Linked DNA regions of Kluyveromyces lactis. The protein of the gene in region 5 purifies or fractionates together with the protein of the main gene of each other region. This does not show direct contact. Links are inferred from orthologs where the notes say so. Each region holds a gene or a part of one and is shown on either strand. Other genes may lie near its edges. The genes, in order: MAK11, RRP15, SPB4, PUF6, RPF1, KLLA0_E14257g and YTM1.

Evidence for each region.
Region 1: the proteins of RPF1 (region 5) and MAK11 purify together in Saccharomyces cerevisiae (affinity purification with mass spectrometry; 3 studies listed by BioGRID, with this or other methods). This does not show direct contact. The link is inferred for Kluyveromyces lactis from reciprocal best matches to the Saccharomyces cerevisiae genes RPF1 and MAK11.
Region 2: the proteins of RPF1 (region 5) and RRP15 purify together in Saccharomyces cerevisiae (affinity purification with mass spectrometry; 3 studies listed by BioGRID, with this or other methods). This does not show direct contact. The link is inferred for Kluyveromyces lactis from reciprocal best matches to the Saccharomyces cerevisiae genes RPF1 and RRP15.
Region 3: the proteins of RPF1 (region 5) and SPB4 purify together in Saccharomyces cerevisiae (affinity purification with mass spectrometry; 3 studies listed by BioGRID). This does not show direct contact. The link is inferred for Kluyveromyces lactis from reciprocal best matches to the Saccharomyces cerevisiae genes RPF1 and SPB4.
Region 4: the proteins of RPF1 (region 5) and PUF6 purify together in Saccharomyces cerevisiae (affinity purification with mass spectrometry; 4 studies listed by BioGRID, with this or other methods). This does not show direct contact. The link is inferred for Kluyveromyces lactis from reciprocal best matches to the Saccharomyces cerevisiae genes RPF1 and PUF6.
Region 6: the proteins of RPF1 (region 5) and KLLA0_E14257g purify together in Saccharomyces cerevisiae (affinity purification with mass spectrometry; 3 studies listed by BioGRID, with this or other methods). This does not show direct contact. The link is inferred for Kluyveromyces lactis from reciprocal best matches to the Saccharomyces cerevisiae genes RPF1 and LOC1.
Region 7: the proteins of RPF1 (region 5) and YTM1 purify together in Saccharomyces cerevisiae (affinity purification with mass spectrometry; 4 studies listed by BioGRID, with this or other methods). This does not show direct contact. The link is inferred for Kluyveromyces lactis from reciprocal best matches to the Saccharomyces cerevisiae genes RPF1 and YTM1.

What each region holds. Positions count from the first base shown.
Region 1 is NC_006041.1:715,815-720,091, reverse strand, and holds MAK11 (Mak11p), read right to left. Parts: upstream 2,617-4,277; coding exon 1,444-2,616; downstream 1-1,443. Other genes in the region: LYS1 (saccharopine dehydrogenase (NAD+, L-lysine-forming)), read left to right, coding at 154-1,272; NIS1 (Nis1p), read left to right, coding at 3,432-4,277.
Region 2 is NC_006038.1:956,234-960,117, forward strand, and holds RRP15 (rRNA-processing protein RRP15), read right to left. Parts: upstream 2,172-3,884; coding exon 1,410-2,171; downstream 1-1,409. Other genes in the region: PPT1 (protein serine/threonine phosphatase), read left to right, coding at 1-1,253; KAR3 (Kar3p), read left to right, coding at 2,752-3,884. UniProt on the Saccharomyces cerevisiae protein: Constituent of pre-60S ribosomal particles. Required for large subunit rRNA maturation, in particular processing of the 27S pre-rRNA at the A3 and B1 sites to yield 5.8S and 25S rRNA.
Region 3 is NC_006041.1:1,267,746-1,272,550, reverse strand, and holds SPB4 (ATP-dependent RNA helicase SPB4), read right to left. Parts: upstream 3,651-4,805; coding exon 1,860-3,650; downstream 1-1,859. Other genes in the region: ULA1 (Ula1p), read left to right, coding at 397-1,833; pseudouridine synthase DEG1, read left to right, coding at 4,031-4,805. UniProt on the Saccharomyces cerevisiae protein: ATP-binding RNA helicase involved in the biogenesis of 60S ribosomal subunits. Binds 90S pre-ribosomal particles and dissociates from pre-60S ribosomal particles after processing of 27SB pre-rRNA.
Region 4 is NC_006039.1:1,047,246-1,052,309, reverse strand, and holds PUF6 (pumilio-family RNA binding domain-containing protein), read right to left. Parts: upstream 3,198-5,064; coding exon 1,209-3,197; downstream 1-1,208. Other genes in the region: CORVET complex subunit VPS3, read right to left, coding at 1-998; myo-inositol transporter ITR1, read right to left, coding at 3,753-5,064. UniProt on the Saccharomyces cerevisiae protein: RNA-binding protein involved in post-transcriptional regulation. Component of the ASH1 mRNP which transports the ASH1 mRNA to the distal tip of the bud, where the ASH1 protein is translated and targeted to the daughter cell nucleus.
Region 5 is NC_006042.1:2,011,697-2,015,689, forward strand, and holds RPF1 (rRNA-binding ribosome biosynthesis protein RPF1), read right to left. Parts: upstream 1,920-3,993; coding exon 1,041-1,919; downstream 1-1,040. Other genes in the region: karyopherin MSN5, read right to left, coding at 1-320; KLLA0_F21692g (pleiotropic drug resistance family ABC transporter), read right to left, coding at 2,456-3,993. UniProt on the Saccharomyces cerevisiae protein: Essential protein. Required for biogenesis of the 60S ribosomal subunit.
Region 6 is NC_006041.1:1,261,727-1,265,526, reverse strand, and holds KLLA0_E14257g (Loc1p), read left to right. Parts: upstream 1-2,284; coding exon 2,285-2,908; downstream 2,909-3,800. Other genes in the region: histone acetyltransferase catalytic subunit HAT1, read left to right, coding at 1-661. UniProt on the Saccharomyces cerevisiae protein: Required for efficient assembly and nuclear export of the 60S ribosomal subunit. Involved in asymmetric localization of ASH1 mRNA.
Region 7 is NC_006039.1:646,704-651,139, forward strand, and holds YTM1 (Ytm1p), read right to left. Parts: upstream 2,305-4,436; coding exon 970-2,304; downstream 1-969. Other genes in the region: KLLA0_C07403g (uncharacterized protein), read left to right, coding at 1-852; FSF1 (Fsf1p), read left to right, coding at 3,415-4,398. UniProt on the Saccharomyces cerevisiae protein: Component of the NOP7 complex, which is required for maturation of the 25S and 5.8S ribosomal RNAs and formation of the 60S ribosome.

The DNA.
Region 1 (4,277 bases), on a different chromosome or scaffold from region 5:
TACCCTTGTTAATCTTTGCATGATCTTGAACAGTGTAACTATATAAATCAAGAAAAACGGAAACAATACTGCTTGACTTCATCTCATCGATATTTTACTTTGATATAGTACTGAGAACATCCGAGAAACAAAGAGACAATTACAATTTTAACAATGAGTGTTACACTACATTTAAGAGCAGAAACTAAGCCCTTAGAGGCTCGTACAGCCTTGACACCAACTACTACCAAGAAGTTGTTGGATAAAGGGTTCAAGATTTTCGTTGAAGAGAGTTCCCAATCTGCCTTTGATATCGAAGAATATAAGAAGGTCGGTGCCACTATTGTTCCAGAAGGATCTTGGAAGACCGCTCCACGCGATCGTATTATCATTGGCTTGAAAGAAATGCCAGAGACTGATACTTTCCCGTTAGTTCACGAACACATCCAGTTTGCTCATTGTTACAAGAACCAAGCTGGTTGGGAAGATGTTTTGAGCCGTTTCAAGAGAGGTAATGGTGTTTTGTACGACCTTGAATTCTTGGAAAATGACCAAGGTAGAAGAGTAGCTGCATTTGGGTTCTATGCTGGTTTTGCCGGCGCAGCAGTCGGTATCAGAGACTGGGCTTTCAAGCAAACCCACTCAGATTCTGAGAATTTGGGAGCTATTGAACCATACGAAAACGAAGAAGCTATGATCAAGGATGTTCGCAGAGACTACCAATTAGCTTTGAAGAGAGGTGCCAGAAAGCCTAAGGTTTTGATTATTGGTGCCTTGGGTAGATGTGGTTCTGGTGCTGCTGATTTACTACGTAAGTGTGGATTGCCAGAAGAAAATATCATCAAATGGGATATGAAGGAGACTGCTCGTGGTGGTCCCTTCCAAGAAATCGCCGATGCCGATGTTTTCATCAACTGTATATACTTATCAAAGCCTATTCCTCCTTTCATCAACAATGAACTATTGAATAAGCCAACCAGAAGATTGAGAACTGTTGTTGACGTTTCTGCTGATACCACTAATCCTCATAACCCTGTTCCAATTTACACCATCAACACTACGTTTGATGCACCAACAGTACAAGTTCCAACCACTGTTGGTCCAAAATTGTCCGTGTGTTCTATTGATCATTTGCCTTCATTGTTACCAAAGGAAGCCTCAGAATCTTTCTCTCGTGATCTATTACCATCCTTGGAGCAGTTACCTCAAAGAGCTACTGCTTCTGTGTGGGTCAAGGCTAGAAACCTATATGAAAAGTTCGCTGCTAAGGTTGGTAGAACATCTAAGCTATAGAAGCTGAACCTTTTTTTTTCTATTTCGTATCCTCATCTTCTGGGAAGGTGGTTGTTAGTAATCCTAAAGGGTCCTTTTATGATGTAGACCGCGATTGAGACTTTGTATATTATTCGCCTTAGTTATATATATATATATATATATATATATACAAAACAATACTGAAGCATTCTATTCTAATTGAACTTCGACCTTCCTTTTCTTGTTTCCGCCCTTCTTTTTACTCTTCTTGGCCTTTTTCCCAAGCATGATCTTTTTGAGTTCCTCAGGATCAGCTTCTACGTCACTTGGTTCTCCCACCTCAACTTCTTCTGGTGCTCTCTTCTTAACGGTATCATATTTTTCAATACTTTCATCGCATACAGCTACACAATTTAATCTTTCACCACAATCGTATACCGCAACTTGATCCCTAGTCTTCATGTCCCAAACGACAATTCTTCCATCAGATCCGATTGTAACTAAATAATGACCAAACTTGTTATGGTAAAATTGAAAGTCCTTTACACGGTTACTGTGACCCAATAGTGAAAATTCAGCTTCCAACTTAGGTGATTCTTCCTCTTCATCTGGCACTTCTTCGTAAAGTTTTGATGCTTTCCAGAATTGAACGGCACCACTGTTCAATCCAACAACAATATACTCTTCGCCATCAATGATTTCACGCTCTAGATGCATCAATGTATTCCTGCTAAAATCGATTTCTCTATGCACCTTTGCTGTTTCGGTCTTGAAAATTAGCAATTTGTTCAACAAACCAACAGCAATATACGACCCATTCTCCCCGCACCATCTAACGAACTGTCCGTTTTGATTATATTTCCTTAGTTTCAATACACCTGCCTTCTTAACAGTCATGAGGTTCCATAATCTGATCGAATGATCTTCACTTACACTGACTGCAACTCTGTTCGAAGGATGAATATCGAAATCGTTGATCCTGGCAGTATGGCCCTTCAAGGTTCCGAAATTTTCCCAGTCTTTCACTCTCCATACTATTATTTTATGATCCTCAGATGCAGATAGTAGCCATTTATTGAGTTGGATATCCTGGCCATCGGCATCTTTACCTCTTGAGAATCTCAAATTCGTAATGGAACCTTGATGTCCTAACAACGTCCCCAATTCTTTACGTTTTTGTAAATCGTAGATTCTTATATTTTCATCGTTCGATCCTGATACTAGGTATCTCTTTGATATGTCTAGACATTTCACACTCAATGAGTGCGCTTGAAAATGAAATATTGGCGTGAATAGCGGTTGGGTTAACGATAAGTTCAAAGATAAACATAATAGATTGTGTTCGTAAGAACCCACAATGATTCTAAACTGATTATCCGGCATTTGAATAGAAGACCTTTTCAACCTCTCTTTCTACAGTGAAAACAAAAGGAGCACTTATCGGTGTTGAAGAAATTATATATGTGAAAGCTCATTGAACTCATCTCATCTCATCTCATCTCATCTCATCTCATCGCTTCTTTGACTATGTTCAATCTTAAATTTTCCAACTTTCCAGATCCAGATGGGAAGAAAAAAGAAACTGTTCAATTTCCGGGTAAACTTTTTAAAAGGTTTTCTTTCCTTCAAATGTGCTGGGTTCAATCTATTAAAAATTCCCAATGTTCAAAGGGTTTGTTTGTATTTTTTTTCGACAACCAGCATTTTTTGTTAAGCTTAGTTTCTTTAGCATGAGATTTCGGACAGAAAGTGCGGAAAATAAAGTGACGCAGCATTTTTTAAGTGGTGTAGGCTCTCAATGTTCGAGTTGTTTGCTTAAACGGTCCGGAAACAATGTTGTGTGTATTGATGGATAATCCGTTTTTATTTCCTAGGATGAATGTTCAAGCATTGTGCTAATTATTTTTGGTGACAAACTTGATCTGATCTTTAAAGACTTTGAATCGGGAAAATACATGTTCCTCCATTAATCAATAAGAGATCTAGATACGGATTTGAAATCTTTAATTAGAACTTAGAACTCTACTATTCCATATTTAGACGTTTCATTAGCCATTTCCGAGAGTGGCCATTTAGAGCATAGCACTTTCTGATTCTCATCAGTCCTAATCCAAAGAAATATTCTCTATTCACAACTTGAAAAGGGGAAGTTACTTGAGCCTGTTTCAAGAAAGGAATAAGAGCTGAATTTTCAAGCCATGTCAAGTTACTCTAGTGAAAATAATGATACTCGGCGTGTTATCGATTTGAGTTCTAATAACATCGGGAGTCGATTACATGAGTCTCTTGTCGATTCAAACAGAGCTATATATACAAGTGGGATGCAAGAACGTTCTTTGAATGAACAAAATATTCACTTGGTCAATACGTTGGAAGAAAGAAGTCCCAATGATAAATTACTGCTGAGTCCATACGAAGAAGAACTTTACAGACGTAGTCTTAGACTGAGTCCCGTTACTTCAATCGCAGCACCCATACCCACAGTTACATTGCTTGGGGAGGATGCACCACCAGAAGCCGGAAAGACTGCTTTACCGTATATGACCGATTTTGACAAGTTCCAGGTGGAACAGGAAAAGAACAATAAGAATAGGCGACAAGGTTTGGAACAAAATAACGACTCGCTGTTGAGTTTATTCACCAAATGGCCTATCTACTCTTCTAAGAAAATAAAACAAAAAATGAATAGGCACAATTCGCTTAAAAGAACGCATTCTTCAGTTAGGCGCAAGGATTTCTCTGTTCAGTCTGAGTATGCGAAATATAACAAAGATAAGAAGTTCATATTCCATAAGGGCTTTTCTCAAAGACACAATTCTGTTAATTCACTGCGAAGAAATTACACCAAAAAGACTCACTTCAGAAAAAGGTCTAGGTTTCAAAATGAACAGGAATTGATGTCGTACATGAGATACATCAACGCCTCTCAAATGGATATAACTGAGGTGATAACAGCCGATAACATTAGAATGTATCTTTATTCCAAAAATTCATTGAGAAGCCTATTACGAGTTAATCCAACACTCCATCCAATTAAGGTTCCT
Region 2 (3,884 bases), on a different chromosome or scaffold from region 5:
AGTTTAGAAAGGCAAGGAAGGACTTGATCATTGTGTTGAAATTCAAGCCTAACGAGCTCACTGCAAAAAATGCATTAGCAATCTGTGATAAAGTCATACAGAAGGAGAATTTTGAAAAAGCTATTAGCGGTGGAGACTCTTCTAAAGTTGATTTATGTCAAACTTTAAATATCAGCTCATTCGATGCAAATGCCGATCTCCTCAAATATGATGGTAAAACCTTGGAATTCGAACAAGTGAAGTCAGATTCTGGGGCCAATGCTGGTGTCAGAGTTAACAATATGAACCAGGAATTCATTTCTTATATGATTAATGAGATTTTCCTAGAAGGTAAAAAGCTTCCAAAGGCTTACGTTGCAGCGATCATTTCTCATGCAGACTATTTGTTCAAGCAAGAAAACAGTGTTGTTGAACTTGATAACAGAGAAAAGCCGGATACAAGAATTTCTGTATGTGGTGACACGCATGGTCAATTTTATGATGTTCTGAACATCTTCAAAAGTTATGGGAAAGTAGGCGGCTCCAATGTATATTTATTCAATGGTGATTTCGTAGACCGTGGATCATGGTCTTGTGAAGTGGCCATTTTATTCTATTCTTTGAAAATCGTGTATCCACAGAACATTTACTTGAACAGAGGTAATCATGAAACCAACAGCATGAATAAAGTGTACGGGTTTGAAGACGAATGCAAATACAAGTACTCCCAGCGCATTTTCGATCTTTTCTCACAAAGCTTCGAATCTCTACCATTAGCCACTGTCATCAATAGTTCATACCTGGTCGTGCATGGTGGTTTGCCAAGTGATACTTCTGCCACTGTAGAAGATATGAAGAAAATTGATAGATTCCACCAACCACCAAGAGAGGGAACATTTATGGAGTTATTATGGGCGGATCCACAGGCTCCGGATGGATTTGGACCATCTCCTCGTGGCTTAAGTAATGCGTTTGGGCCTGACATTACTAGAAAGTTCTTGAAACAGAATAATTTAAAGCGAATCTTCAGGTCTCATGAAGTTAGACAAGGCGGTTACGAATTTGAGCATGAGAATCAATTGGTCACTGTTTTCAGTGCTCCTAACTACTGTGACGCCGGTGGCAACCTCGGTGCAATCATTCATGTTGTTCCAAACACAAAATCTGAAAAGAAATCATCTATCGACAGCGACTTGGTAATAGAAACTTTCTCTGCTTCACCACATCCAGATATTAAACCAATGGCATATTCAAATGGAGGGTTAGGATTTTGATCCCTCATCTGACCTGATCTGATCTTTTTTCGATAAAGTTGTAATTAATAATATTATTAGTCTATTATACAGTCTTTGGGATTACCTATATATGTACATAGTTTTGCGCTTTAATAAATGCAGATGATTCCCTCTATCATATAGAACTTCCTCTTTTCAACTGTCACCAGCAGTTTTCACCAAATCAAAGAACTTCTCCTTGGAAACCTCCGTTATCAACTCTTTTCTCTCTGAACGGTTCTTCACACCACCCAATGAGTCATTGATTTCCTTTTCAGTCTTAACCTGAGTAGAGAGAATTGCATTGAATAACTTCACAACACCTTTCTGGGCAATCTTTCTTAGTTTACGTTCCTTCTCAAGAATTTCTCTAATTTCATCCGAGTTTGCGTCTGCAGCCACAACAGGTATAATATCTTTCTTTCTAGTCTTATTGAGTAGTTGTTTCTTCTCTGTGAGTATAGCTCTCTTAGCCTTTTGCTCTAACTTATCTGCTTCATTTTGCTTTAAAACTTTCTTATTCCTAGCCATAATGGGATCTTTACGGTCGTATGCTTTCAAATGCGATGATAAAATATTGGTTAACGCGCTGGAAAATGTGGATGATCCATCATCGTGTTTGGATTTGGAAGACTTCTTCTTTCTTGGGAAGTCATCGTCATCTGGTTGGTTCACCACATCTTCATCGTCACTGTCTTCATCACTGGCGTCATCACTCGACACTTCATTTAGATCCATTTCATCGTTATCTATTTCGGAACCTGTACTGCCTTCAGAATCCACATCAGAATCTACTTCATCAGCCAATTGTGATACTTCATTCTCTTTGACTTTCGTTTGAGCCCTGATCTTTGCAGACTTGTCATTCAACTTGCTCTTTTTGGTGACAGGTATTGTCACTTTACCCTTGCTACTCATAGTATTTTCAGGCGGCTATACAATACAAAGCTGTCCACTGCACAATCTACCGGCAAGTTAACCTTCTATTGAGATAGTGTGAATTCAATGATGGATCCTAAAGGCCCAGATACAGTCTTGAAAGCGATGAGATGAGTTGTGCTTCACTGAAATTTTTTTTGGCATGTTCACTAACAAAAAGAAATACATTCTATCAACACACCCATACACCACTGCAAATTTGACGTTGGTGGAGCCGCCGTCATAAGAAACTTGAAGCTGAACTCTCTTACTAGCCTGTGGTTCCCCGACTGTTGGGTTTATTGGAGTGTGGTGTATCTGTAATGGTTCCTCTACTTGTTCAAGCTACCCAAAGAAGGTTTGTTGTGTACTGAAGCCGGTTCAGTTTCGAAATATGTCACATATACTAGTAAAGATGTAAACAAATAATAAGATCAACCGAAAACAAAACAATCTTGAAACACCAAAGGAGACATAGCAATTGAAGAACGTATATAAACCAGTACCGCTTTGGAAAAGACGTGTAATAAGGTAGTGGGTTTGACTAAATTAAACTGGTTGGCTGATAATCAAACGGAATATGAATGGACCGCCGTCAACGCCAGAAAGATGTTCATCGAAGGACGGTTCTAATATACCTTCTCCAACCCAGCAGGGTTCAAGTTCACCAAAATACAAACCAAGGCAGTCGATAAGATTGAATCCAGAAGATGTACAGAGTATAAACAGAAGAAGGTCTCTCACGCCCAGTACTGAAAATAGAAGCTCAACTCATATGACATTCTTTTACAAAGAAAACCTGAAAGAACTGAATAGATTGCAAGAAGAGTTGTCCAGAAAAAAGATCAAGTTGAATACCGCACAGGATGAGATGAACTCGTTGAAAAGCAAAGTGGAAACTGTAGAGTTCAAAATGAACAATTTGAAAGAGGAGAAACAAGTGAAAGTACGACAAATCGGGTTAAAGCAGAATGAATTGAATAGCATGGATCAAGATCATGAATTGAAGTTAGAGTTTATGAGAAACGGATTTGATCTAGAAATAAAGAAGATAGAGGGAAAATACCACTGTGAAATGAATGAAACAGAGTCGAAATTCAAATTTGAAGTGCAGCAGATTGAATTTGAAAAGATTCAAAAGTTTAAACAAGAAAAGGAACATTTATTGAAGGACATACATAACTTAAACGATGAGGTAAATAATAATGACAATGTCATTAACCAATTAAAGGAAGAACTTGATAAGAAATACTCAAATCTTAAAGAGAAGTGGATGGTAGAGTTTCAGACGGAATGGAAGAATATCACAGAAGCTAATCAGTCCATGATTAAGGATATCAACAAGTTAAGTCAAGATATAGAAAATGACATGACTAATGAATTGGATCAATCTAAAGACAAACGTAACATTTTAGAAAAGGAGCTAGCAAAATTGGAAGAGAAGCTTAATGAGAAGAATGTATTCAAGGAATCTATTACTGTGCAAATAGACACTGTCGAAGAAGAAATAGAGCAAACTATCAGTCAACGGAAAGAACTCAATGAGTATATCACTAATTCCAAAAACGAACTTTTACAAATCAATGAAATACTGATAAAAGAGGAGACAATGCGTCGTAAGCTTCATAATGAACTACAGGAGCTGCGAGGAAATATCAGAGTATACTGTAGAATAAGACCGCCTTTAGAAAACGAAGTGCAGGATATATCGCA
Region 3 (4,805 bases), on a different chromosome or scaffold from region 5:
GGACATTGACATGGCATGAGCCACGCAATTTTTCTCTTCTTTGCAAATTGCGGGCACGGTTCTCTATGTTGGTTTCTTCAGAAACTTTTGTTCGACTCTTCTTTTCGGCTTATCATTCGAGACTGGAAAGAATCGTATGTAGGTGGATGATATTATAGTACTTCCTGCTTCCGCTTTGTCTGGTGATGGTGGTGTTGGTTTATGATATAGCCGTAGCAAAAACAGGGCCAGGAAATGACGAACTAACAGTGTATTGCCGGCCTTATGTTGGCTCTTTAGAGTCTCTTATGAAGTTTTAGGGTAATGCTGAAGTACTCGTCCGGGTAACGGTATGCAGTTGATCTAGCTTGAACTTTGGTAATCCAACTGATTCGCTTGAACTTTTAAGCTCATCTCATGATAAATACGTCATTTGATTCCAATCAAGGCGGGCTCTCTTGCATTAGAACTAGTGTTAAAGATCAAGGACCAAGGGCGTTGGTACAGGTTATGGCTGATCAGATAAATGGTGGTTTGGATGACCGTTATGATCGACAGTTGATGATCTGGGGCCATTCAGGCCAGGATTTACTTTCTCAGTCTCATGTGTGCGTTGTAGACGATAATCAGACATTGTTGATGCGAGAATGTGTCAAGAGTTTGGCTCTCATGGGTATTCATGAGATTACTGTAGTTTTTGGCTCGTCTAATGGATCAGATTTTGTGAACAAGTCAAACTCGGATATTTTAGGTTTTGATGCGTTAGAAAGTATGAATCCAGATGTTACGTTCCATATTTGGAACGAGAATGCAGTTCCAATTGATTCACAACATAAGTTATGGAACTCTTTCTCTATTGTCATATGTTTGTGCACGGCTGGTCCGTTGTTACAACGTGTCATGAAACTCTCAGCAGTTCCTCTGATAATGGCATCCACCAACGATAACTTGGGATTTGTTCGTCTTATAGGCAGTGAACCTCATTGTGTCATTGATTCTCATGGACATTTCACTTTCGATTTAAGACTCAATCGTATGTGGCCTGAACTAGCAGAATATCACGAATCATTCGATGTAAAAAATATGTCACAGGAAGAGGTATCCTCCTTGCCTTATTCCGTTCTACTGTACAATGTGGGAAAATCATTAAAGTCAAAGAATATTCCTATCAATAGAAAATCAGTGAGGGCAGAGTTCATCGAACTTCACGATTCTATACTCTCTGGACCCTTGACCAATGATTTGAACTTTGTGGAAGCAGAGAGGTCCTCATTCCTGTTATACGATCAATCAGGACCATTTCCTCACAATTTGACCAACATCTTGAATAGTTTTCATGCTGAACCTAATTCTACAATTAATCGATGGGTATACCAATTTGTACGATGCATCAGAATATTTTACGATTTGAGAGGCGATTTACCTGTGTCCGCATTCATTCCAGATATGGAATCCTCAACTAAACTATTCAACGCGCAGAAAGCAGTATATCAACGTAAAGCTGCCAAGGATAAATCAGAAATCATGCGCATTCTAGCAAAGGAGAATTATAGTTTGATACCTGAACCACTCATAGATAAAATGCTCGAGAACTTAAAACATTTGGATGCAATTAAAATGGGTAGCCTCTCATCGGCAACTAGAACTATAAGTGAAAAACCGAAGTTCAATAAGTTGCTATCGCTACAAAACGATAGACATGATACAACGTTTGTCAGCCCTGCGATGGCATCAATTCTTGGTGCAATGGTATCACAAGAATGCGTGAAATTATTGACACATCAATATGTACCGGTTGAAAACACATTGTTATATGACGGGGACTCGAATGAAACAAGCACATTTATATTATAATAGATTTATCTACGATATGTAATTGACTATAAATCATCGAAACTTCCTTGCATGGAGTTATGCTTCTTTTTCTTGTTTTGTCTTACAAGGTCTTTCCAGTCTTGCTCAACTTCATCTTCTGATTCCTCATCGCCCCGCAGAAGTTTCTCTTCAATTGCCTTCCTCTTGATGGCCATAGCTGCTCTTCTTTCAGCTTTGGCTTCTTTAGTTAGTGTCTTATCGGACCATGCCATGTTCTTCTTCTTTAGCTCACTTTTCAGTTTCTTTTTATCGCTTATTTGCTTGAGGTTTTGTAATTCTTGTAACCTCGCCTTCTCCTTTTGTTTATCTAAGTAAGCAAATGTGTCTAAATTCACTGGTGGTGATACCAACCAACCTTCCTCCGGAATTTGGTCGGCAGCATACCTGGTTATTTCGGGCATACGTGGCAGACGTAACAACCCGTAAAAGTTCGCAACGCCGATGAAATCCATGGAGTGGAATCTGAAGATCGATGATGCAGTATGCTTTGAGTAGTATTTTATAAATGCAACGTATGCTCTTACGCTGTGATCGAATCTTGCTCTATCGTGTAAAATCCAATCGTGGAATATTTTGGTTAGATTCTCTACGCCTTTCAGTTCCACAGATTCTTCTTCTAGTTTGACGTTTTTCACTTCCAGGAATGGTACGTAATCTTCTTCTCTACCTTCATTTAAAAACACAAGTGCCTTACCAATCCTATTAGCCCTACCTGTTCTACCACATCTGTGAATGAATATATCTGCATCTGTTGGTGGATCAAGTTGGATAACTAGATCAACATCTGGTATGTCTATCCCTCTAGCAGCAACATCTGTGGTGAATAGTACGGCATCGGTCAAGTTAGAAGTGAAACTGTCAAGCGTCTTCATTCTCGATTGCGTCTGTAGCTTTCCGTGTAGTGAGAAGAGTTTTAGATCATCCTGAATCAAATTAAGCTCTTTCAAATGGTTTATGAATGCGTAAAAATATGTGACCGAGATACATGTCGGGAAGTAAACTATGCATTTCTTGAATCTGTAGTTGTTGAGTAGAGTCAACAATAGTTGTAATTTATCCTTAGGTGGAATGACGATATAGTTTATCGAAAGAGATGAAGGTGCGCTCGAGTTAGACTTCACAGCAACTTTCACTGGATTTCTCATACCTGTTTTGAAGATTTGCGCACCCGCACTTTCGATTGTTGCCGAAAACAACCCTGTTCTTCTTTGCTTCGGCAACATCTTTAAAATGGTTTCTACATCTTTCTGGAAATTCAAATCCAATAACTTATCAGCTTCATCTAACACGACGGTACCACAGGAAGCAGTCTTTACATTAGTCTTCTGCAAAAAATCTAGGACTCTCCCAGGAGTACCAACTAGTATTTGGGGTCTGTTATCTGTAAAACTATTGATATCGTCTCGAACACTAGCGCTACTTGTTCCGACGAGTAATTGCGACCGTATTGGGTACAGATTATCTGGATAATACTTCAGAAAGTCTTCTATCACATCATGAATCTGACTGGCTAATTCCCTGGTTGGTGAAATGATTAACGAATGGAAATGTGATTTCTTGAATTTGGCCGAATTGGCTTCTTCTTTTATCAACCTTTCTAAAATTGGAATCACGAACGCTATAGTCTTACCAGATCCTGTAACAGATTCTACCACGACATCCTTGTTACCAGAGAACAACGGAATAGTTGAGGCTTGAACTGGCGTCATGGTCTCAAACCCCATCGATTCTATAGCCGTTCTAATCCATGGTTGTATCTCGCATTTCAAATCGTCCCACGATAACGACTTCGACATTTTGTATCAGTTCGAAACTTTAGACTAGGCTTTGGAGTGGTGAGTTTATACCTTGTTGGTCAAATCTTACTCCTGGATTTCAAATGTATGCATATGTTCACACTGATTTAATCTGGATACATTTTCCCGATGAGATGAGATGAGCTTGAACTTATTTTTTTTCTTTCCAGCTGCCATCCCAATAGAAAAGAAAAAAAATTCCATTAAATCTGTACAAACTTGCATTTAATGCTGATTGGCATTGATGCGGCGTTGTTCTCGATGGTTGTTCCATTCATAACAATTTGTATTCAAATTTGTTTGATATGATCTATTTGTTAAACTTCTATGAAGTTATATTAGCCTTGTGATATAATTCTTTCAAGACTACATATACTGGGATGGGATTTTTATCAAAACTTTTCAAACTAGATGGTAAAGGCACTGTGTCAGCAATGTCCACTGACCAGTCTGCTTATAAGAATTGGACCAGGGAACAGTTGATTGAGCGATTGCTACAGCTGGAAAATACTAGTGAAAATGGTAGTGATGCTAAAGGAAATAACTCAGATACCGTGGCTGAGGTAAAAAAGCGATCTGCGGACGCTGCTGTTGAAGCAGAGAGAAGAAAGAACGTCAAGAAACCTAGGAAATCAAGGGAATTCGACTTCTCCAAATACAACACACGGTTTGTCGCCTTCAAGTTTGCTTATTTGGGATGGAACTATAACGGATTGGCAATTCAAAAAGATGCGACTCCTTTACCTACTGTCGAGGGTACGATATTAGAGACCATGAATAAATGCAAACTTGTTCCGTCCATGGTTCCTCAAGAATATAAGTTTAGTAGATGTGGAAGAACAGACAGAGGCGTTAGTGCCATGAATCAAGTAATTTCATTGAGAGTTCGTTCGAATCTCACTGCAGAAGAGCAGCTTGATCCCAGCTATGACGACAAGGAGATTCAATATGTTAATATTTTAAACCAGATTTTACCAGAAGATATCAGAGTATCTGCAGTTTGCCTACGGCCACCAAAAGGTTTTGATGCCAGATTCAGCTGTAAAAGTCGACATTACAAATACTTGTTCAGCTCAGAGGGTTTGGATCTTGAAAGGATGCAACTGGCAGCCAAACACTATGAAGGTGAGCATGATTTCAGAAACTTTTGCAAAT
Region 4 (5,064 bases), on a different chromosome or scaffold from region 5:
AGTTCTTCTGCAATTAAAGGGACATATCTTAGTTTTTCAATTAATTCTTTATTAAACTGTCTCGTTATGAAAGGAGTCTGCAACTTTGTAATATGAAACGGGGTTTGATTTCTAACATTTTGTATAACTACTGGGTCGTTGTTTTCTTTTATTAAATGAATTTGAAGGCATTTAGAACCATGTAATTCTGATAGCACATACAGATTATCAACTATAACTGTGAGTGGATAATTTTCTATAACCACGGTACCGTGAGTGATTTCTCCATCATCGTTTAATATAAGTCCCATACAGTTTTGGTCATTTGATATTCCACATGTGACGATATATTCACTTTTTCCAAAATTTGTCACAATTGGTGAGAGTTCCTCATCATCTGTCTCAGACACTTTGAATAAAGGAGTTACCAGCTCATTTTCAAGATGGATTATCGAGTAAGAGTTATCAACAGCTGCCATAAGGAGTTTTGCGTCTTTTGAAGGAATGGCCTTTCTAATTCTCTTGATGTTATACTTCTGTTCGACTTTTATCTCTTTGCTTGTTATGCTTACTCGCTTTACCAAGTTCTTCGTGTATAAGAAACACGAGTAACATTGTGTTTTCTCACAGAACTCCAAAAGTGAAAGTTCTGTTATATTCATAATACTTGGTATATTTGAAGCAGGTGCAAATTCAGGCAGGAGAAACATTTTGAGTCTCCCTTCGGACAACACTAAGGCTCTATCAATTTTCGGCAGTAGCGTTATGCCATCAATTCCTGTTGGTCTGTCTTCATTGAAGTTGACTTCCGAGATCAGTGTGAAATTTCCAACATCTAATTCATAATAGTGTAGTAACGCTCCTGAAGTCGAGCCCAGGTAGATGTGCTGACCATAATATTCGATACATGAGTACTCATATTCATGAGGCACATTCTCGATTAATGGTGAAACAGCATATAATCCATCGGTTACTTCAAAGGCAGTTGAAATGGGTTTCTCTTTAGTATCGTCATTCATAAGCCATCAATGCCACTGCTGTAATTAGTGAATTGAGGAATAAATGTTCTTAGCTGTATTATCTCTGGTTCGCAGATGATAGTCTCATTTAAGGAAGTGTGAATCTTAATAGTAGACTAGAACGTCCTTCGTCCACAATGATGAGAAGCTATATCATCTTTAATATACATATTTTAGAGCCAAACTATATAACGACTTGACTATACATACTCAATGCTTCATTAGCTTTAGAAGTAGTTGAGCACCCTTGTTTGAATCGTTCGTCTCTATTTTCTTGATCACTTTTTTCAAATCATGATCGAATTGTTCCCCTTCTTCAGTCCCATGTAAGGCTTCATACAATGCCACAATGGTAAAAGAACTGTTGGGTTTGTTGATCCAATCGAGTAGGTTGCTGGAATCAATGATGTCTTCATAAAATTTTTCAGCAAATGGAATACCAAGTCCCTGAACTTTTTCTAGAGGTTCTAGTTTTCTTGCTTTCACGTTGTATCTACCATTTTGAATGAGAGACTTTAGCAACCTTGCCGAAAATGGTTTGTTAATAGGGTGGTCTTCTTCTGAAATGTCACCTTTGAAATAAATGGCGACGGTGTCCACAAGCTCGGCAAACAACTTTTGATCAGACTCTGAAAGTTGTTCATAGACATCATCGTTAACGAGTAAATCTGCGACAAATTGAGAACCGATGTTTTCATCTAGAATGGTTTTGTAGTGTTCGTTTACGCCAGATAAAATCATTGGTGCGAACCTTTTTAATAATTCAAGTCTTCTTTGGTCAAATGGCTTCTTGGAAGTAGTTTCCGACATCTTAATGTATCTTTGTAGTTCATTCTTCATATTTGGACCGAAGTATTTACCATCTAATCCTAAAAGTAGGAATAAGAGCGGCCTCCTACCAAATTTATCAACAATCAATTCTGGAAGATGTTCCTTAATTGGTGGGGAAAATGCCTTGGAGACGAGAACAGTATCATCGACTGTCATTAATAAAGTTATGAAAACAACGGCACCGTGTTCATTTTGAATTAACTTGATTGCATGTTCTTTCAAGGTCTTTATCAACCCCTTTCTTTCTTTGGCATTTGCTTTAGCGATTAAAGTAGATGCAACTTCTGCACCTTCTGGGGTATGCACTAATTCCGCAAAGTTCTCTTCTAAAAGTTCGATGAACTCAGATGTTTCTTTATCGTTGGCGATTTTGACGTATTCCCTCATTGCTGCGTGTAAAATCTGGAAACCTGCCGAACCTTTTTCAACAGAAGCAGTGATGGTACCAATCAAGTTTCTAGCGATAATATTTCTCTTTTCTACGCTGGAAGCACAAACTTCTTCGAGCGTAAGTTCCTTATGAGATTCTCTGAATACGGCGTATTCTGAACCCCAAAATTCTCTGATCATTTGATTTCTTTGTTCTTGAGAGGCATAAAGAACAAACAAATCTTCGACCACATAGGCACCTTCACGGTGTCTCATTAGTTTTCTCAAATTACCATGTAGTTGATCGATTATGATTTGTCTAGATTTTCGGGAACCATAATGTAACAATTTAACCAACAAATATTTACCATATGATGATGTGGCCAAAACATAAATTTTATCTTTCAATGCCAACGTGATCTGTTCTCTGCGCTCTTTGGAAGAATATTTGACTAATGTCTGGACAATTCTGGATGCATCATGCTTCAATACTAAATCTTCAATACAATCATTCGAGAGTTCCCAGATCTCATTACATAGCTTTTCACGGACAGGCTTTGGAATTGGAGGGTTCTTGACACGTAATCTTTCCCATAAAGACTTGATCTGCTGGACTGTTTCACCAGATTTACGCTGAAGTTTTCTCTCCTTTAATGTTTTTCTTTGTTCGGCATGCTGGCTGACACCATTACTTTCTTTTTTGTCTGCATCATTTCCGGTTCCAGCATCTTCTTCATCTTCAGCATCTTCTTGATCCTCATCAGATTCATCCAGTTGATCAGATTCGTTGTCTAGCTCGTCTGAATCTGAATTTGAGCTAGCATCATCTAATTCATCATCTAGCTCATCTTCTGAAGATAAACCGTGGAGGACATCATCAGAATCTTCATCGCCAGAATCAACACTAATGTTTTTAGCTCTTTTTACAATTTTACCAGAATCCTTCGACTCCTTAGATTCCAATTGACGCTTGTTCAACTTTTTCGACGTGGCTGCCATATCTGTAGTGCTGTATTGTCCTACGAGAGAGAATAAGAATGTATATGTTGTTATTTAATGCTACCCATAGTGCAGTTACTACTGTATAAGCTCATCTCATCTCATCGCTTCTTTTTCAAGTTCAGAAAATTTTCATAATATGCTAAAAAGAAAGAACTCAAATAAACATTCGCCAGAATCTCTCTTTTTTTGATGGGGGGAATATACAGTTGGTACAGGATTTGGCTGATTAAACCGAATATGGCAGTTTATTACATGCTTCAAAGATTTAGCTCTATTTCTCGAAAGCTCTCTCTTCCGAGTTAGTTAATTATGAAATGAGTAAATGTCACCCTTTCAAACTAACGAGATTTTTATTGTAAATCACAAACAAGTTGAGTTTTACACATGACAATGATAATATTACAGTAGTAATTGTGGACAACTTTAGCAGCTATAGTTGTTAATTCTAAAAGATTTTATGGTTATCTATATACTCAACTTCATATGAAGTTCATTGAAAAACCAAGACAGTAGCTTCGGGTATGAGAATAAGAGGGAATGACTGCATTTACATTAACTTTCAAGTAGTTCATCGGAGGGTTTATCCTTTTGATAAGCTTCCATGTCCTTTTCTCTAAATCTCCTTTGCATTTCGCTATTTTGTTGCTTTCTCTTCTTGGCTAGTTGTTTGGAAGCTTTGATGTTGAATCCATCACTTAAAATAGTTTGTACTTCCTCCAATTCTAGACCAGATAGTTCTGGATAACAGAGATAACAGAAGACGGTAGATACTGCAGCTAGTGCAGCAAATAATGAAAATGTACCAGTCGGTGTTATGTTTTGTAACATTGTTAGGAAGGTAGATGCAATAATTAGGGAACCAGCCCAGTTAGTAGCTGTACAATAAGAAGTACCTACACCTCTAACGGATGTTGCAAATAATTCAGATTGCTGCCATGGTACAGTACCGATACCTAGAGCATAGAATGCTGCATATACCATGATGAATACGATAACGACTATACCCCAAGAACTGAATCCACCATTGGAAACTTCCGATTCACCAGCGCCAGTGAATTTTATATCTAGGAAATGGAAGGCGATAGCACACATAACCAAGGAAACCATCATACCAGGCAAGCCAATCAAAAGGATTGCTCTACGACCGACCTTATCAATCGCAAAGAAAGCGACTAAAGTGAATACGAAGTTAGTACCGGCAACGATGATAGACACTGCAGTAGAATTTTCGAAACCAACAGTTTGAAAAATAGTACCAGAGAAATACATTAAAGAATTCCAACCACAGAATTGTTGAATACCTTGTAAAGCACAACCGATCACCAATGCCCTGAAATTGCATGGGACAGTATGTAATTCTTTGACAGTGTTGAAGAACTTGTGTACAGGGGTCTTACCTGGGATAGCCTCATTCAAATCTGATAGTTCACGGATTTTTTGATCGATAAGTTCCTGGGGAGCGTTAATGTAACTCTTTTGTAAAACTTCTGCAGCCTTCTTATAGTTACCTTTTATCACGTAGAAACGCGGAGTGTCTGGCAAGAAGCTGAAGCATGTAAATTGCACCACAGTTGGAATCAAAGAAAGTCCGACTAAAATTCTCCAACCGTTATGAACTTTATTCAACCCAGCACCACATGCATAAGCGATCAATTGACCACCTGTTAGCCAAAGTGAGTTTATCACCGTTAGTCTACCTCTGATATGTTTTGGTGCGATTTCAGAAATGAATAATGGCGCTAGTAACGACCCAATACCGACACCGAACCCCATAATTAATCTACCTACTGCCATTTGCCAAAATGAATGTGCACTAACCTGCAACGCAGCACCAATGACAAAAAGAATATTAGAGAACATTAGA
Region 5 (3,993 bases):
TCTCTAATATATCTTGGATCATTCGGTTGCACCCTGTAGTTTAGTTCAATGATCCACTTTCTTAATGCCATCCGTTTTTCTTCATCATAACCCGACCAATTTTTCTTTAAGGCGTTTACCAATAACCCTAATCCAAAATGTTTTAATATTGAATTCTGTGGGTTATTGAGAGCTATTTCATATCCCCAAAACGGCGATTCTTCTCTCTCTTTCACTTCGTCCAAAAACTTCTGTGCATCCAATCTCTTCGCATTATCTGATTTTGGATCGTAAATTACTTCCAAAGCTGCGACCACTTGAGAAGCGCCTGAATTTTCCATTGCTCTACTTGTGCCCAGTCCCTTTTCTTGCTTATAAACTAATATAATTTAAGAGAACTCGTAATTCTTGAATCAAAAGTGATTCAAAATATCAGAAACCGATGTGGTAAATTGAGACAGCTATGATATCAAGTGTGTTTATTCTCCCAATTCGCTTTAGTTACAAGACAGAATTGGATCAGATATTTCCTGTTGTTTTCAAAATGAGTCCAGAATCAACGTTAAGATGCTGAAAACAAAAGAGAGGTAATAGCAACAGTGTACAAAAAAAAGAGTAAAGTGGCTTAGTGTTTTTACTGTCAGTGTTTACTTTCCCAGTGATCGATCGTGTTAATAATTCCTTTCCAATAAAACAACAATAACAAACAGCCTGAAAAAATACTTTTTCTTAGATTGCAATCGATCAAATATAATGACCAAGAATATGACAATCCTAAAGAGCAATTAGTGTACCACCTCTTCAGATCAACAGAGTAACCGTTTGTTTCAATTAATCTTTTCAACAGTGGGCTTGTACTCATTTAAGCCCAAAACATTCCAAATCCTTTAAAGGTTTCAATGCCCTGTTTTCTTTAAAGCCAAGGAATTTCTCATTTTGCCACCACTTTTCGTCAGCCTCGTGAGTAGTGATGATAATACCGTCAAATCTTTGATAAATCTCCAAGTGCAGGACTAGTACACAGGTGGCTTTGAATTTGTATATAAATATATGCAAATATATCATAGATTGAACTTCTTCTTTTCTTTGTCCATTGAAGGTTTGTGTTCCCATTCTGTTTCCTCTTTGATACCTCTTTGTAGTCTTTTGAGTTTCATAGTAAATTGGGGCCCAAGTTCTTGAAGACCTACTTTCTCTTCGTTCCTGAAAACGTAACGGTGTCTGCGGAAGAAGATGTAATCTCTTTGATTATGCAGCGTTATCACTTGTCTACCTTCGAAATCAGGGTTCTTAGGGAAAATAGATTGGAATAGTTTACCCACAGTTTTACCAAGTCTGGTGTTGAAATTGTTCAAGATTAACTCTGGAATATGGCTAGTTGGTCTACCATGGCCCACGATCTTTTCGACTTCGACGAAAGAACTTATTTTGAAATAAAAGGTTGGCCCCTCTGGAAGATGAATAAATGTAAGCCCCGTTACTTTCTTCTTATCTTCATTTATTATCACGATATCTGTATAGTTCCTGTTATTACAGAATTCAGAGATTTCCTTCAGCTTGTATCCAAATTTCCTCTTCACGAAAGTCACATTAGGGAAAACTTCGATCAGGATATTAGCGAACTCATATGCCTTCTTTTTGGCGTTTACATTAGTTGTTAATAGAATCTTTGGTGGTTCGGTACCGTTGAAAAATTTCATAAAATCATCCATTTCACCTTCGACTTCTTGACCCATCGTTTCATCGTAAACTCTGAGGTTATCAATTGTGTCAGGAACATTTTCAGCAAGTCTTTTTTCCTTCAATTCCGGATTCTCACGTTCTTCCTTGGCTCTGGTCCTCCTCATAGAATGACGCTCCTTATTGTGCTGATCCTTCAACTCAGCAAAGAGTTTTTGCCTCTTCTGCTTGTTTTTTATTCTGAGTTCATCCACTGCCATTTTGAAATTATAGTATCGTCCGATTTGCTGTTATGCACCCTCGCTATTTGACCTAGAATAAGCTACATAACTAGCTATGTTCCACTATATTCAACTTCTATCTTGTTAGCCTCATCTCATCTCATCTCATCTCATCTGATCAATACAAAAACTTTCAAAATTTTGGAAAGCTAATTTTCGATAAAAAGAAAAGAGTTCACATTCGTCGCTGCAATCATTGTAGGAAGGGTGAGCTGACGAATATCCCATCAAAGGATCTTGATTACCTCAACGACCATCCACAACAGAGATCCATGCTAAAATTGAATAATTTTCGTACTTGCAATCGAGTTATATTGGGACTTTATATGCAATCGAAGTTTCTTTTTTTGGTTTCCATAGTAATATATGGGGAAACCAGATATCAATTCAGGTCTATATATACAGAATAAACAAAATATTAAAGCAGAACGCAAGCCCACGATAAGAAATGAAGTTTAATAGTTAAAAAAAAACAGAAGTAAACGACGTAAAAATTGGCCAAAAAGCAAAAATCCTTAAACTTGTTCATTGGATTGAGGTTCAACCTTTTCCTTTTGAACATTTTCAATTTTCTTGCCATGATCTGGGTCTCTCTCATCAGCCACTCTGTTCTTCTTCTTTGGAACTCTAGCCAACCAGTATAGGAAAACACAACCGCACCAGTTGAACACAATGAAGACTATGAAAATACCGAAATTTCTCCATCTTCTATGGTACGAAGATTGGAAACTTGTCAAAAATGCGTTTGTTTCAGAAATCTTACAGAAATTACAATCTTCCGTAGCATTTGAATCTAGTAGATAACCACCATTCTTGTCAATATAGTCCGCCATGTACTCACCACAGGTTTCTCCACTCCTTGGATTAAAGCTGACGTATTCATAGTTTGCGCATGTTACAGGGTTGTTTGCAAGACCAGTTGAGAGTACACCATCAATAAAGTAAGTTAGCGGTGAAATACGGTACATGAAAATCCAGAACCCTGGCAAAACACCAGAACCACCAAACACACCACAGAAATTCAAGGACATAGTGAACATTAATGATGCCATATTACCTGCAGCCTCAGCATACTGAAGACCTGCAATACACAATTGACCCATTGAACTGATAAATACGTAGAAGGAAACAGAGAATAACCAGAATAACACACCTCTTTCGTTTAATTGACCGGCATATGACGCATTGTTGTAGAAACCAATAGGATAGTAGAAAACGAAGAAGGCAATGGTACCAAAACATATGTTAAGTGGAATTTCAACGGTGATTTGAGAGAAGATAAATGCCAGCCAAGAAAATGTTCTACTTGGACGTTCCCTAGCTTCGTACAAGTCTCTTTGAGAGACGAACAAAGGCAAGTATTGTTGACAAGCTGGATTAAAGATAACTGTGAATGTGAAGATAGCGAATAATTGATTCTGCAAACCTTGAATGGATAAGTTAGCCTTGAAAAATGTGAAACCAATAAACAACTGCGAGAAGATGGTCAAGAAAAGCTTCGACCAAATGTACGATGGAGTTCTATAATATTGTTCGAAAAGACGTAATGTAACAACCTTGTACTGATAGAATAGAGAAGTACCAAATTCGCTTTGTTCAGAAGAAGTATCTAACGGTTTCTTACGTAGCTCAGATTCCATCCAATCTAGTTCCTTTTGAACAGCTTGATATTCATCAGAATTTCTCCACACTTCATGGTAATCCTGAGTTGCATGAGAACCTGGCGCAGCACCAATAACGTCCAACATCCATTCAGCTGGGTTAGCACCCTCAGGACATTTTGACGCACCATGTTTTTCAAAGTAGTTAATCATTTCTTGACAACCTTCACCTAAATTACCAAAGTAAACAGTCTTACCACCCTTTTGTAGGAATAAAAGTATATCAAACTCTTGCATCAACAATGCGGAAGGTTGATGGATTGTACACAAAATGGCTTGACCGTGATCAGCTAATTTCCTCATTAATTGACAAACGGACCAAGCAGTTTGAGAATCCAAACCAGAAGTTGGTTCATCCAAGAATAACAACAATTTTGGTTTGGCTGCCAATT
Region 6 (3,800 bases), on a different chromosome or scaffold from region 5:
ATCTTGGGAAATATTCATTGTATTCAATAAAAACTCTAAGAAGTGTATTGGGTACACCACCACTTATCAGTTCTGGAAATATTTAGGTGCTCAATCGTTTGATTCCAGCAAAGCAGATGAACAGAAATGCAGGGCAAAAATATCCCAATTTTTAATCATGCCTCCATACCAAGGTCATGGTCATGGAAAAAGGCTATATCAGGCTATAGTAAAACAATGGATGAATGACTTATCTGTCGTTGAGATAACAGTGGAGGATCCGAATGAAAGCTTCGACGATTTGAGAGATCGTTGTGATTTTGAAAGAGTGATTAACAAAAACTCTTTGGCAGATTGTCCGAATGAACTACCTATAAATATAGATTGGATTACCAAGAAGCAAGCTCAGTTAAAATTGGAGAAGAGACAGTTCATGCGTATCTTAGAAATGTTCCTTCTATATCAAAAGTCTCCTAACTATAGATTACAATTAAAAAAGAGAATTTATGAAAAGAATTTTGAGGCTCTTATGGATATGGATGAGAGCCTGAAGAAAGATAAATTACAAACGGCTTTCCAATCCCTAACCGAAGATTACAATCGTATTCTCTCTAAAGTAGCTATCAGAAAAAGGACATTTTCTGACTCGCAAGGTGAATCTGACAAAAGACTCAAAGCATAAAACGTCGTAATGTCTTCTTTGGATGGTTCACTTGTCAAACAAGCTGGTAACTAAGACTTATTACTTCAACTTCATGAATTGTCAAATTAACATGCGAGAATTCTTTTCTCATTTAGATAAATAGAAATCAAAGATAGTTAGTCCTTTTTGGATTATCTTGAGTTTCGACCACGATGTCGTGGATTACTAGCGCCTTAGCGGCAAGAATTGTCTACTGCTATTTTACTTTAAGAGCTTTCTTCATTATAAGAAGAATAAGTTAGGCCTGATATTGATAAACCAAATCTGTACTACTGGTAATGTATTAACCGCGATTAAATTGAAAAATAGCAAGTTTTGAGAATATGGTACTGTCTCTTATTGAACAGGATACTGTGAAGTAGTGACATTAGGGACTTGGTCTAGAGGGATAGTGATGTAAAAGTTGATGATGGACATTTCGATCTCCTGATCGGGTTTTTCTGTACTTTCTGGACGATAACCTGGGGATTTAATTAAGAGCTTCGCATGTGTTATGTAAACTATTTATGATGTTCTTTGGTTCTTCTTCGATATTCTTCTTGGTATATGCCGTCTAACATACATATAAATGTAGAACAATGATAGATATATCGTCAAATTCGAATGGAAGAATTCGATGAAGAAAACTCTATTTATATATTTTCGGGATTTGTTGATCAATAACAATATGCTATCGTATAGATCCTAGTTCATAGCGGCTCCAGTAGTATATTTACTGCTTCTGAAAAAAAAATGACACCTTAGAAGTTCTCTCACAACTCCATACAATAACATCTCCACTACCTTCTTCCCGGCTTAATTTTTTAATATTTATTATTAATTTCCTATTGAAACAGAAAATATATTTATTTTTCGGAATAGTAAAACTATACAATATTTTAAAATAAATTGAATTAAGTTTTATTTAAATTAAATAGATAATTATAAAAAAAGTAAAAATTTATTTATTTCTATTATGAGAAAATTAATAGATATTTTCTCTAGAAAAATAAAAGAAGAATTAAAACTAATTTGAAATTATATTTTATTTGCACGTGATATATATACATCACTTTGTTCACTACTGTCTTGTTTAATATACAACATAACTATATGGATTATCATTATTATTACTATACTTAAAAAGACAATTGAAAGAAAAACTAATATCATTCGGATATCTGACATTTAAACTCCAGCACAGTGTACCTATATTACCTTATACTAGTCGTGAGTTGTGTACTCTGTATCATCTTATTGTTTCTGATCATTTATTCATTTTCTATCATTATTATATTTTTTTATATTTTTTTATCTAATTTAATTTATTCTATTTTATTTTAATTGTTTATTCTATTTTTTCACATTGACATGCAGGAATTCAAGAAATAAAGTGTTACCAAGCGAAAAGAAATAAAAATAAAACTTTTCGATGATGAATTGAGCTCATCTCATCGCTTTGGTAGAACACTATCACAACTACTACAAAAGCACAACTGGACTTGAATTTATACCTCTGGGTACGCTGTCTACTAGTTAAACCGCGAGACAAGTCTGAATTTACAATAATCAGACTTATAGAAGAAAAATCCTTGACGCATAACAATCCATCGAACTTGAAAGATGGCTCCCAAACAATCAAAAACGGCTAAGAGATCCAAGAAACAAAATGGAACGAGGGAAGTAAGATCAGAAGTATTCGAGGACTCTATTGCCAAAAATCAAATGGCAAACGTGCCTAAAATGACTGAAAAATCTGATACCAAGAAACCAACCAAGTTACAGGTGAAGAAGGATAATTTCAAAGCACGTCTATATGGTAGCCAGAAGAAGAAGGAAAGACGCTATACCGAGAAAGAATTAAATATTCCAACACTTAATAGAGCGATTGTACCTGGTGTAAAAATCAAAAAGGGTAAAAAGGGGAAGAAGTTCATCGGTGATCATGATTTAATAGCGTTAAACAGATTAATCAAAACGATAGGTGATAAAAATGATGAAATAACAGAGAGCAAATTAGAGAAGACAAGGAGACTCGAAGAAATTCGTGATCTAAAGAGACAAGAAATGGAAAGAAAAGAAACCGAAAAGAAGGAACAACTAGAGGGTAAGAAAGATGAAATCAAGAAGAAGGCATCCGTTGCCAGAACTATTCGTAGGAAAACCAAAAGGCAAGAACTGAAACAAGAGACATTAGCAGCTCAGTCTGAACCTATCAAGAAGAAGAAATCTGTCAGCTTTGCATAGTTAATACATCAATTTATATATGCATATGTGTGTATGTAAATGGAGGAATCGATAACCTTTTAGCATCGATCATGTGACTAAACATATTAAAAACATTAGATTACCGTTACTGTAACAACTGGAGTTAATCAGCGTTTCAGCCTCAACACAATTTTGGTGTCAGCAGCTGTTCAAAGATTCGGATATGAGGGCGCATGTGTGTATCCGGCTGCCATGTCGGTCTTCTATTTTCTAGTCATTGTTGATGATGAGAGAACAGAGACATTTCAACGTTGTTGGGGACTTCCATACAATGCAGATTGAAAAGTGGGACATTCTTACGATTCTGAAGCCAGATGATAAAAAAAAAAAAAAAGAAAACTGACGCTGCTCTGCCAGATACCGTTATTGACAAGATGCTTTCAGCTGGTAAACACAAGCACCATTTTTTTTTACGTGACTTAACTATTCTGAGTTCATCTAGTATTCTGGTAAAGCAACGGTCAAAAACTCATCCCTTCAGAGTTTGGCATGTGATTAACAAGGAGGAGACAAAAGGGTCGTCAATTTAACCCGTTCCAAATGCAATGATCGTCGGTTTATTCTTTTTTTTTTTGTCAACTAGTTGTATTTAATTTACAAAACTGTCATCATTTTAACCTTCTCCACATTCAATAACATTTTAAAGGTCATAATATAACGTATGAGAGTTACACCTCTTTCGGTGCCGAATAGATCAATAGATCGATTAATTAGCAACTGATTACCGCGTAAACCACTTCATTATCACGATTTATAAAGTATATAAATGATGGTAATTATAGATCTTATCGAATTTTGAAATATGGACTTCAGTTTTGCACTGACGTCTTCCCTTATTTTATGTATATTTGAATATTTCGAAATAATAACA
Region 7 (4,436 bases), on a different chromosome or scaffold from region 5:
TCAGCAATTGAATCAGTACTGAGAGACGCTGGTTATACATGGGACAAAGAAAATGACACATTGGTTCGCGATTCAATAAATTCCATTCGATTTTCTAAAAAGAGTAACCAAAGCCGTGTGAATGAAGCCATGTGTCACATTGTCAGAGATTGGTGTGATGTTTATGATTTGGAAAGAAAGCCTCTTGTAGATTTCATTGAGGAGTCTTTCGGAAATTGTGACATCGATGAAGACACATTAATTGTTGTACCAGGATCTGGATGTGGAAGGCTAGCTTATGAGGCAGCCAATCGATTTCCAAAAGCAAAGGTTACATCTATTGAATACTCGTCTTTGATGTATTTGTGTAACGAATATGTCCTCGGAACTACGGACAATATCACCGTTGATCCCTTCTATCAAATTTATAGTGGTCAACAAAGTATGGAAGCGCAAACCAGGCACTTTAGGATGGACTTGGATAAGTTCCAAAAGCCAGAGAACTTAACAGTACTTTTCGGTGACTTTTGCTGCTATAAACCAGAGAAAAAATACAAAAATATAATAGTATGTTCTGCATTCTTTATTGACACAGCAGCAAACATGTTTGATTACTTCAATGCTATTGAGATGCTTTCTAACAATTGTACAGGACGTTTACACTGGGTTAATGTTGGACCGTTGAAATACGGAACTAGACCACTAGTACAATTCACATACGATGAGCTAGCAAGACTACGTAAATTACGTGGATGGGAAGATCATTCCAACCAGGTTGATGTTAAAAATTTGAATGGTTACCTAACAGACTACGAATCCTTATTCCAAGGGTTTTATGGTCTAGCCAAATTCCATTCGGAACTAAAAAGATAATTAACATTAGAACCCTGCAAATACTATGTTGTTTCTCAACATTTTTTGTGGTACATTTCTTTTATATTTAAGTGAACTAGTGAGCATAATTCCTGTATATAATATATAAAATTACGATTAGTTACTAAATATATTATCACCTTTATTAATTTGAATTTTTTTGTCTTGACCACCGCTGATGATACCTACGCCTTTAGCCCATTTGACAGCAAACACTTTATCATTGACACCTTTAACAACATTTTTATCTTCTCTGGTGATAGTGTACATTGCAGTGTTAGACCTAACATCCCAAACCTTGACAGTTCCATCGTGAGATGCAGAGCATATCATATATTCATTTTCTGGACAAGTATCCAAAGCGACAACGAAGTTCTTGTGACCTACAAGCTGCTGTTGGGTGATTTTAGATGAAGAATTTACACGAGGATCATGAAGAGTAATGTGTCTGGCACTCGACCCGCATGCTAAGAGATTTAATTTTGGTAGTTGCGCAACAGAAAGAAGTGAGTACGATGTCGTCTTTGTATCGACACATTTTGCCGTTATCAGATCCCATGTTTTTATAGTATGATCTTGTGACACGGAATACCCAACAGTATCATCCGATTTATCGAAAATGACAGCCTCTACTGGAGCACTGTGAGATTCAAAAAGAGCCAAAGGGGCTCTTCTTCTGATAGATCCATCTTTTAGAGTCAACTTTCTCCTCTTCTTGGCTGCAGTAGACACGTTGCCTCCTAAATCCTCCATCGGATCAATGACAGTCATCTCTTTATAATTCGTGGACCACAAGCTCACCGTATTATCGCATGATGCAGATAGAATACGGTCTTTCGAAACATCAATGGACACTACAGGGGCTTTATGACCTTCCAAGATGGCCAATGTCTTACCATCCTCAATTTCTTCTTCATCAATTGATTTCAAATCATCATTCTTCGTTTTCCACAGACGTAGAGTGCGATCATTCCCTGCGGACACCAATCTCGTACTAGAAATGTAATGCACAGCACGAATAGGGCCAGAATGACCACTGTATTGTTTTTCGACTTTCCCTGACAAGTTGTACGTTCTTACGATACCGTCATAGGAACCACTGTAGATGTAATTGCTTCCGACATCCAATGAGCTTACCCAATCTTCGTTATCAAAACTAGACAAATATGAAGGTGGTAGCACTGCTCTAGTATATTCAACATTCAAAAAGGTTTCCGATGATAAACCTTTCTTGATCAAATAGTCCTGCAACGATGTTCTCAAAAGTTCACCATCGATAAGGAAATCAAATGGCATAGATTTAGGTAATTCCAGTAGGTGATTAACAATTTCAGAAAGACCATATCTCTTTAGACTAACTGGAGCATAGATTGGAGCATCATTGACATGTAAAGTCTCATCTTCTTCACGAGTAAAGAAGCGTAGCTTCACCTGAGTCTTATCTGTTGACATATTCCCCTACAGTTTACTTCTCCTTATAACTAAGATATTCTTCCAGTGAATTCTAGTTTGAATTGTCTAATAGATTGTGATCGCACGTTGTTACTGAGGTACGATGGAGCGCGTTAACTCTATTCTTCCTATCTTGTACATTTTCTAAGCGTTGTAAGATGCGATGAGCTTGGAAAATTTTTGGGAAACAAACCACTGCTCGAAAAAGAAATCCGCCAGAAATAAATGCCAGTCACGTGTATATGTTTTAAGGAACCGGGTAGTGGAAATTAGTCAGTACACCAATAGCTAAGTGACAGACTAATGACCGTGTAATACTAAACATTTTCACGAGTAATATATGGTATATACAAGTATAAGTAAATTCAGGAGTGACAAGAGATAGAGAATGTCCCGCTCACGCAGCTACCAATTAAAGCCAATTGATGAAAAATAGTTAAGTACTTTAATCAGTATGAGGTACGCTCGCGGATAGAATTTTCATCTAGCCGTTCTTTTCCCCTCTGTTCATCTACGGTGTATCAGATGGCACAGTGAATAGAAGGCATTAATATGTTTCGTATCACTTTTTTAAGCCAAATAATCAAAAGAACAGTCGACTCGAATTTGATTAACTTAGAGTACTTGCTTTAACCTTGTCTTTTTCTCAAGGTGAAAAGCTTCTCAATTTATACTGGATGTCTGTTCTTTTTTTTTTTCAGGCAGAGAAAATTAGTTGTCCGGGTAAATTATCATATTACCTTTAGACATGTTAAGAATATGATTAGGGCAAAGACAAATATGTTATTGCTAAATTGGAAATCGAAGTGGTTGGAATCATCATCGTTTCACTAGTACAGTTTCTCCGAGAATAAGAGAATTATAATAACCTATTGCTAGATCAATAATTACTGTCTTTTTTCTTATCAGAATTCCAGCAGCTTTGTAACGCCGTACGTATCATTCTGACGCTGCAGAATGAAAAAAAAAAATGCAAGCTCGAGAGAATAATGCATTTATATCTAAAGAGTCATCTCATCTCGAAAGTAATTAAGCAAGAACAAAGTCGTGTTTGTCTCGTAGAAGCTCAGCTCATCCAAAAGACTTCGATACACTTGAGTACAGCTTATCATGGCATCCAGTGTCCCAGGTCCAATTGCCCTACCAGAATCTCGTTATGATCTAAGCACCTATTGGGGACGTGTTCGTCACTGCGCAGAGATTTCTGATCCAACGATGTTGTTAACGAGCAGTGATGATCTTCAACAAGCTCGCAAAATCATCAGTGCATATCGCCATGGAGAGTTGAAAGAAACGACGCCTGAGTTCTGGCATGCAAAGAAACAGCTAGATTCTACTGTTCATCCTGATACTGGTGAAACTGTGTTTCTCCCATTCCGTATGTCCTGTTGTGTGCCCTCAAATCTGATAGTTACTGCTGGTATGTTAACTCCTAATATGGGTACCGCTGGTACCCTGTTCTGGCAATGGGCTAATCAATCATTGAATGTTGCTGTTAATGGGGCCAATGCAAACAAATCTCATCCTATGTCCACCACTCAATTGATTACCAATTATACTATGGCCGTCACTGCATCGTGTGGTGTGGCAGTAGGTTTGAACAAACTAGTTCCAAGGCTGAAACATCTATCAGCAAACACTAAAATGATCTTGGGACGTCTTGTACCCTTCGCAGCTGTTGTATCAGCAGGTATAGTTAATGTATTCTTGATGAGGGGAGGCGAAATCCGTAAAGGAATCTCAGTTTATGACTCCAATGGAGATGAGGTTGGCAAATCAAAAAAAGCAGCCTTCATCGCTGTTGCTGAAACAGCGTTCAGTAGAATATCAAATGCTACACCAATCATGGTTATCCCGCCGTTGATCTTGGTTAAACTACAGAAGACTGTATTAAAGGGGAAATCCATGGCAGTTCAAACTGCTGCCAATTTAGGTGTTATTTTGGTCACGTCTTTCATCGCGTTACCATTTGCGTTGGCTGTGTTCCCACAATATCAATCGATCTCCGTTTCAAGTCTGGAACCTGAGCTAAAAAACAAGGTTGATTCTAATAAAAAACCAATTGAAACAGTGTATTTCAATAGAGGTATGTGATAATTTTTCCTCATTCACTCTATCAACCATGTAAGACG